2 linked regions of the Schizosaccharomyces pombe genome follow. The gene in region 1 interacts genetically with each later gene. Each region holds a gene or a part of one and is shown on either strand. Other genes may lie near its edges.

Region 1 (4,139 bases):
GTTTTCAATTTCCGCTATACTTTTGTTACCGGTCTTTATCATACTTGCACTATACAATATTATCGCAAATATTTAACGTCTCGTTGGTTTCGCCGAAGGACCGCCCCGCGGCTGTCTCGGTTCACTCTCCAACAGTACTCCAGACTGTGGTAACGTGTTTGTATGCAGCGTAGAAGGATTTGTTTATAAGATTTCAATCTTTTTTCTTTTTCTTTTTTTTTTCTTGGTTTTAGAATTTTTATTTTTATATATTTATTGATTAATTGATTTACTTATTGATAGATTGGTTGGTTCATTTTTTTTCTTTCATCTTTTTCCAATCTATATGTATGTGTATATAAATATTTTTTATTTTATTATTTATTTTTTATTTATTTATTTTTTTCATTTCCCTCTATTTATTCACTCCGGATCACTTCCATCCTTATGTTATTTTAAAAAAAAATTTTTTTTTTCTTGTTCTATACTTCTGTTTATTTTCATGTCCTTTTCATTTCGTTCAATTAATTTCATTCCATTTCCTTTTCTAATATTTTTTTTCCTTTGCGATCGCTACCTTTTCCATACATATCTTGTTTTTTCCTCCATAGTATCCACCTTGTAAAACAAAATTCAATTAAATTGAAAAATTAATATTTTTAACAAATTTTTGAAAAGTTCGAAACTGCTGATTTACAATTTTCATCCATTCTTTGCTTTCCATTTTCTCCATTTCTCCTCTACTTGCGACACTTGGAAATCCATGTATAACCGAGTTTAAGGTTATTTAATAAGCGAATGTGTAGTTTTATTAATACAAAGATTGTTGCGCTCTTATAATCAACTATTTGCATAAAATTCATCTCTTTTATTTTTTAATTTATCATAATCTAAATAATGAAACCCCTCAACATGTCTGAGGACTCCTCCTGATTGCGAAAAAAACACCCATTCACCAATACACCAATTTAGAACCGGTTTTCTAATGTTTTTCTATTAATAATCAAATCATCCTCATAAAGTTCTTCCTTCAAGCTCACCATTTTTTATTTTTTCAAGTATTCATTCATTCCAAATTTTGCTTTTTCAATCCATCCAAACCTGTAAAGCCGAAACCGTTCCTGTCCAAAGATCCTTCTCTTTACTTTCATCCTCTTCTTCACTTTCATCCTTCTCATACTTGTAAATTCTATTTCCATAACATACACACTTTATCTGCATGTTTATAGGGTTCGCTTGTACTGTGTTTACCGTCAAATCGTAATTTCCCGTCACATGCGTTTCTTCCACAAGATCCTTGTTTCTCCATCTACGAATACTTCCATCCGTCCCACCTGCCAAAATTTCATCCTTTTTATCAGTGTCGAAAAGAATCCTTTGGTTCGTATCGCCACGATGCCCTTCAAGAGCATATACCATGTCGCGCACATACCGTATATCCCAAACTTCAATCTTATCACTGCATCTGCTTCCAACATATAACTTTTCTCCATCCTCACACCATTGTAGATGTGTCACTCCGTTTCCTCTTTCAATCGAAAACTCTAGCTGACAAGGGCGACGTCCGCAATCATTATAAATCCCAACTCGATTTGAATACGTTCCCACTGCCAATGTTTTCGAATCCATCGGATTCAAGGAAAAGCATGACTGTATACCCTTAAGACTAAATTCCCAAAGAGGGACTTTATATCCATGGGTTACCGTTGTCATGACAGGTTCTTTACATCCCGTTCTTATATTAAAATGATGGAGACAGTTTTTATCACCCGCAATCAAATACTCCCCATCGTTGGTAAACTGTAAACAATGCGATCCTTGATATCTCTCTTGGTGATCTATCATGTGATATGAAGCCTTGTTCTTTCCTGTAGTAAAATTGATCAACTTGATAGGTTGATCCCTACTAGACACTGCAAAAAGGTTACTGGAAGGATCGTCAAGTTTCATTCTCGAATACCAACTGTAACTGTAAACTGTTTCCGGTGATTGATATTTATACGACAGATGTTTTGAAAAGTTCAATGGTCCATCAGCCTTTTTGGATAAATCGGAAAACGGCACATTCCAACAGTTAAGACATTGATCCTCTGTTAACGAAAGTATAGTCGATCCATCCGGCGACCATCTTGACGAATGAAAAAAATTCAATGGCTTTGTTGGACTTTGAGCAATCACATTTGTTCCTAAATTAATACTTCCGCATACATAGCCGAAATTTTGACTTTTCTTCTTATGCACCAAGTCATCCTTCTGATCCTCAAAGGAGTTTACACAATTATCCATTCCTTCCTCAAGTTAACCTACTTTATTAACCATGTATGGATTATGGCTCTTCACAATGTCAACTTTAATTTTTTAAATATATAATATATATATGGATTTCTTTCTATCTGGTCATAAGGGTTGAAAACGAATAGTCCTTCTTTAAAAAACGAATTGTAATCATATGTAGTAGTTGTAATCTCAGTATGCTCGAATTACTCCAAGACATTTCCACGAGTCCTAAAACAGAAAGAATGTATTCTTTGTTTCTCAATCATAAAAAAAAAAGAAAATTAAAAGTTACGACTCAGGTTACTATATAAATAAAAATAGAGACAGGTTGCGATATACTTGTCTAACTAAAAAAACAATTGAGTACAATATCGTCAACATTTTTATTACTTTACGCCCATTGAAACTATAAATATATGAACGAAATTAAGCAAATAAGCCTTCATCGTTTTTTTGTATTGATAAATCAAAAAATATATTAATGAATTAACGAAAATAACCTATGCCAAAATCTTAATTTTTTTTTATCAATGAGTGCAGACGCGTACAAAAACTGCTCAACAGTTCATAAACTTTAGAGTGTGTCACTCTTTTTTTTCTTCAGCTATTTACTACAAAAGTTGGCTTACGCAGCGGCTTCCGAAATTGTAGCAGTTTCTGAAATGGTTGCAGAAATTGGTTTAGATGTTTGTGTCTTTTTCTTCCTGTGAAATCTTGTATCCTCTGGACTGAATCCACCGTTCCCAAACATGGCAAAATCGGGCGTGGATGCCATATAATCGAATGGACCAAAGTCTTTCTTTGTCCGTATTAATTCGAAAAACTTTGGATAATCAATGTGAGTATGCCAATGGCCATCTTTTTTGAACGCAGTTTGAGCAACTAAAATACTGCAGCTGTGTGCATGTTCTGCAGCAATTTCATAGCGGACGCCAAGGTCTTGTAAATGAATATCAATATACTCAATCAATTTTTTAACAAAGTCAATTACCTCTTCATAATAAGGCACATTCTTCATAGTCAACGGTGATTGATCCGAATTACCACTATAAGTAACCCCCTTAACTTCGATGAAACAAGGCACACCAAGACGAATCAGTTCAGTATACTCTTTAATTTGCTCCATGTTGAATCCCTTCACCAAGGTCATTCGGTAAACAGTACGCTGCCGCTTTTCACGTAAAATCTCCAAACACGTTAGCATTCGCTCCCAAAAATCCTTGAATAATGGTCGGTCTACTGATTTGAGACTCTGCTTAGTACTGGCATCAACAGAAACGTAGAGTTGAGTGACCATACCCATATTTCTTAATGCTTCAGGATGCTGGGCATTTGTTACTAAGAACGATGAAATCTCTCTTTCATGAAGCATGGACACAAATTCGTTTATGTATGGATAAAATATAGGCTCTCCAACCAAGGACAAAGCACAGTGACGAACACGAGACGCTTCTTCATATCTGTCGGGTAGAACACCAGGTACACCTTTCATTAATTTTAACTTGGCATAATGAGCCTTCAATATACCCTGAAGTATCATTTCTGGAGGATCAACCTTCCAGCGCCAAGAGGTTCCTACGGGATTCGTACCATGTCTCCAACAAAAAGTACATTTATTAGCACAGGCTAAACTTGGGGTAGCTTCCATACATAGATGACTTCGAATTCCATAGAAACTATACTTATAGCAAAAGCCTCGGCCACGCATAGCAGACTTTGTCCATCTGCAAATCTTTACACCACTATGTGAGCCAACTACGCTGTATCCCTGCTTTGTAAGGGCTTTATACGTAGGAGACTCTGTCGAAACCATCTCTTTAGTACCCACTGGCAAGGCTGCTTCTGCCTTTGCCTTGGCCATCATGGAACCCATATCCTCAACA
Region 2 (4,157 bases), on another chromosome or scaffold:
CATTTTTGGAGTAACTTCGAAATTGCACGCTTAGACTTTTACAATAGTAAAGAGTATAATGAATATGTCGACGCATTGGAAAATGCTGGAGGATTTTGGACTGAAAGGGTATGTTTTTACAGTTTATTCAAAAAAAAAAAAGCATTGTGTTCTTCGAAGTGCAATCTTCTTCATACTTTTTTCCTATCTCTGATTACTAACTTATTTTAGTGGGGCGATGCTCCGGTGCATTCGCTAGCAGTGGGTCTTCTCCTTAATCGATCTCAAGTCCATTACTTTAGAGACCTTGGGTATCAACATTCCACAATTCAACACTGTGGTCAAGAATATGGTTGTAATTGTGATTGCCCCTTCAACATACCCGATTATGAAACTAAGCCAGGTTCTTGTATTAACGAGTGGGCATCGGTGATGGGGGGATTTTTAGATGAATAAGAGCGAATACGGGTACTTTACGCTCTTTGTATTATAGCTATTTACAGTTTCTTTCAATTCGTAGTATACATACATAGAATTTTATTTAATAAAAGAATTTAATATTTGGGTTGTTCTTTCATAAAAATAAGTTTTAAAAAACAGCAAGACAACATTTATAAAAAAGTTTATTATCATACGTAAGAAGAAAAATACCTTTAAGAAAAAAAGACTAAAGGGTAATCGTTAGGATTAAACGTTTACAAAATCGCAATAATTAAATAGTAATAAAAAAGCGCCAACCTTTGCAAGGCGAAATTTTCGAAAAGGTATATTTTTGTTTAGAAATAAAAGAGAAACGTAACGAAAAAAATAGGGAATTAGTACACAAGGGTTTATGAATACATTATCAGTAAAGCATCACGAAACCACGCATAAACGTATAAAAAATTAAGAAAAATAATAAACCAGTGGGACATGAAGCAGTCAACCTCCTAGAATCGAAAACGTAAATGTATAAGAAAAAAAAACAAAACAAACATCATCATTTCCAAAGACAAAAAAAAAAGGAGAAAAAAAATCATTAATTTACCCTGACGAAGACCAGAGACGAACACATTCGTCCCAAGAGCCAGTTGCCAACATTGTTCCATCAGAAGTTAAAGCTAAAGAGCTAATTCGATTTTCATGGCCTGTTAATGATGTGATGGTTTTGCTTGAGATGGAATCCCAAACCTCGCATGTTTTATCTTTTGCGATAAAAAGAAGTTTTCCAGACTTGGAAAATAAGACTGAATTAATGGGGGAGGATGATGGAGATGAATACTGGAATATCTCAGCAGAAGCACGAATGTCAAAGCACCGAGCGATACCATCCTCTGCACCCGTAACAAAATCAGCGTTAGAAGGAAAAAAGGAAATGGAATTAATATCCGATGTATTTCCGGGAAATGTGGCACAACAATAAGCAGCCCGAAGGTCCCAGAGCTTGGCTAATTTGTCACAGCCTCCGGTAACAAATAAATTGGGATTTGAGGGTAGGAAATCTAGAGAGACAATATCCATTTCATGACCTTTCAAAACGCTAATGGCTTTTGCCTGCTCTATGTCCCAAAACATGCAAGTTTTATCGCCAGAACCCGTAAGCAAATGACCGTCATCGACATACTTACAGCACGAAACAAATCCTGCATGCCCAACCAATTCGACCGGATCCGCATCTGGAACACTGGTATCGTATACTACGCAAAAGTTGTTCAGCCCTCCAGCTGCTATGCTCTTAGTGGAGGGTGAGAATGCACAAGTCATAATCCATACGCTTGGTGCTTCAAAGAACGCAACTTTGTTGGAAGTGTGCAAATCCCAAACTAACAGAACATCATTCGTTGATGCAGATAATAAGTACTTTCCATCTGTAGATATGTCGATGTCAGGAATTTTTCCCAGCTTGTTTTTGAGAACTCGAGTCCCTTGAATGTTGACGTTTACTCTTGACCCAGAATCCATCTTTAGAAATTGAACCAGTATTCCGTCTAATATTCATACAACAGTAACGTAACTGTTCCTATACGATATACTCACAAAGAAAGGGGAGGAAATAAGGATACTAAAGATCTTAGGAAGAAAAGCGAAAAGAATATAAATCCACCTGATAAACTACTCTCACAACAACAAATTTAGAATACTCCTACAGGGGTGCCCAACTTTAAATCCACCCTAAAGAGTAAAAAATAAAAGAAAAACAATACAAAAAAAAGGAAGAGAATAGTAATGGTGCTTCGTTTAAAGAATTGCAAGCTCTAATGTTAAAATTGGCGTTCGCCTTTGAAACAATTTTACGATGACAAGCCTCTATACAATCTATTATTCTAATACAAGCACAAAAACATAAACACCAAAAGGACCAACGTATCGTTTTTCAACAAACACAAAAAAACGGCTTTCTTCGCTTTTTTACTGGAATTTATGTAAAGAGCTAAGGTCAAAAGAAGAGTATTGGGAAACCGTCATAGTGTGTGCAGCGTAACACAAACATATGGAATACGTCATCCTCATCGTAAGCATATAATAGCCGATTCATTCTGCGGTTTTCAACTTGTAGACTACCATAACCTTGCCATACCGATAAAATTGTATGAAATGAACGTTTAGTTAATAGAGATAATAGAAAATTGAAAAACCTGCATTAGACATATATTTTTTTGCTGTTGTAGCGATTATGAGAAAAGGGTTGCTTTACCACGTTGGCTGTGTATCTGTGAAATGGCTTTGTTATAAATAAACAAGCAATTTAGTAACAGAGATGTAGATATTTTGGATATCTTTTTTATTTTGATTAAATCGTGAATATGCGATTCATGGCATATACTCAGAGTATGAGAAACGGCAGTATTGGTGTGCAACACAAAACTGTCTTGAAAGTTTTTTTGTCTCTTTCATTTTGTTCAATTTCTTTAACAATTACACTTAACATTTGACGGACAATACTTGTGTATTGGGTCGATGACTGTCTTCATTGCTTGGTGTATCCGGCGGTAAACAAAATGGCAAACATTTCTACTTTGCCCACAAATATATAGCTTCATGTGGTTGATAATGATTATTTCAGCACTGAAAATAAGAGGTTGATATACAATGAATGTGTTATTCATAAACTACACACGGTTATTAATGCCTTCTACTCCAAATGATTGCATCGATGGTTTCTGGACTGACTTAACATACAAAAATTTATTGTCATCAATGTTATCATGTGTAGCAATTGATTGGGATCTCTGCAATTTCAAATTCAGAAGAGAGATCAGTATTGTTGATGGGTTTTTTGGAAACATGCCAGTTTCTGAATTCTTCTTCTTGGATGTCAGGAATATGCAAAAGAATTTGAGCTGCCGTTATATGTAAACAATGTTGCACGACAAAACTGAACCACGGCAGCCCACTCAACGCTTGCATCAGCGATCGTGCCTTGTCGGACCATTGCTTGCAAAACCTTGAACACAATCCGATATAGTGTATTGATTTTAAGAATAAATTTAACTGCTCAACCGACATTCCATGAGCTTTGAACAATTGATTAATTGTGGAAATAGGAAATGAAAACGTTTCAATGTACAAACAGGGGGCAGATAGGACTTTTATCATATAAAGAAACTGATCTATGTTTTGAGGGCATGGGTAATTGGATCTGTACAGTTCCTCTGGGACCAATAGAGAGTGTTCTCCCTTAGTTATTTTATTTTCTAATTCGTCCTCCGAGCTTTCTATTCCGATTTGGGCGCTGGGCGAGTGATTTTCGGTATCATCCTTTGCATAAGTATTTGCCATGTAAAGCATAGACCGCATTGCTGAAAGATTCTCCTTTTTCAGTTCGCATTGCTGTCCACACAATTGGCAATTGTCGTGCACTTTCTTCCACCAGATCTTGCCACGAATTATATTAGGGTATTGTTTTCGCAATCCTACAGGTAATTGCTGAGAAGAAGCAACTCTAAGGTGTCTTAACTGCCATGTTTCTGCACATTCTCTGTAAATGTAATACACTTCCTTTAATCTATGAAGAGATTTTTGGATGTATGTATTGTTTGGGTCCAGTTCAAGTGAATGCTCCCAATCACGATTGGCTAAGTGAGGATGTCCAAGTCGCAAATAAGCTAGTCCTCTCCTCCATATCACTTTTTTATCATACGGATTGATGACTAGAGCATATGTACAGTCATGAACTACTTTAGTATAGCTGCATGCAA

What was found. A genetic interaction does not mean that the proteins touch.
Region 2: of gnr1 (region 1) and git5, changing one suppresses a phenotype caused by changing the other (phenotypic suppression), as found in Schizosaccharomyces pombe (one study listed by BioGRID).

The regions. Positions count from the first base shown.
Region 1 is NC_003421.2:765,105-769,243, forward strand, and holds gnr1 (heterotrimeric G protein beta subunit Gnr1 ), read right to left. Parts: upstream 2,440-4,139; 5' UTR 2,266-2,439; coding exon 1,066-2,265; 3' UTR 832-1,065; downstream 1-831. Other genes in the region: wybutosine biosynthesis protein Tyw1, read right to left, coding at 2,882-4,139. UniProt on the Schizosaccharomyces pombe protein: Negatively regulates the pheromone-response pathway. Acts as a structural mimic of the G protein beta subunit thereby interacting with gpa1 which then inhibits gpa1 signaling.
Region 2 is NC_003423.3:1,462,089-1,466,245, reverse strand, and holds git5 (heterotrimeric G protein beta (WD repeat) subunit Git5), read right to left. Parts: upstream 2,398-4,157; 5' UTR 1,921-2,397; coding exon 1,003-1,920; 3' UTR 501-1,002; downstream 1-500. Other genes in the region: putative alpha-1,2-mannosyltransferase Omh5, read left to right, coding at 1-108, 211-435; mug93 (TPR repeat-containing protein), read right to left, coding at 3,163-4,147. UniProt on the Schizosaccharomyces pombe protein: Beta subunit of the heterotrimeric guanine nucleotide-binding protein (G protein) involved in glucose-induced cAMP signaling.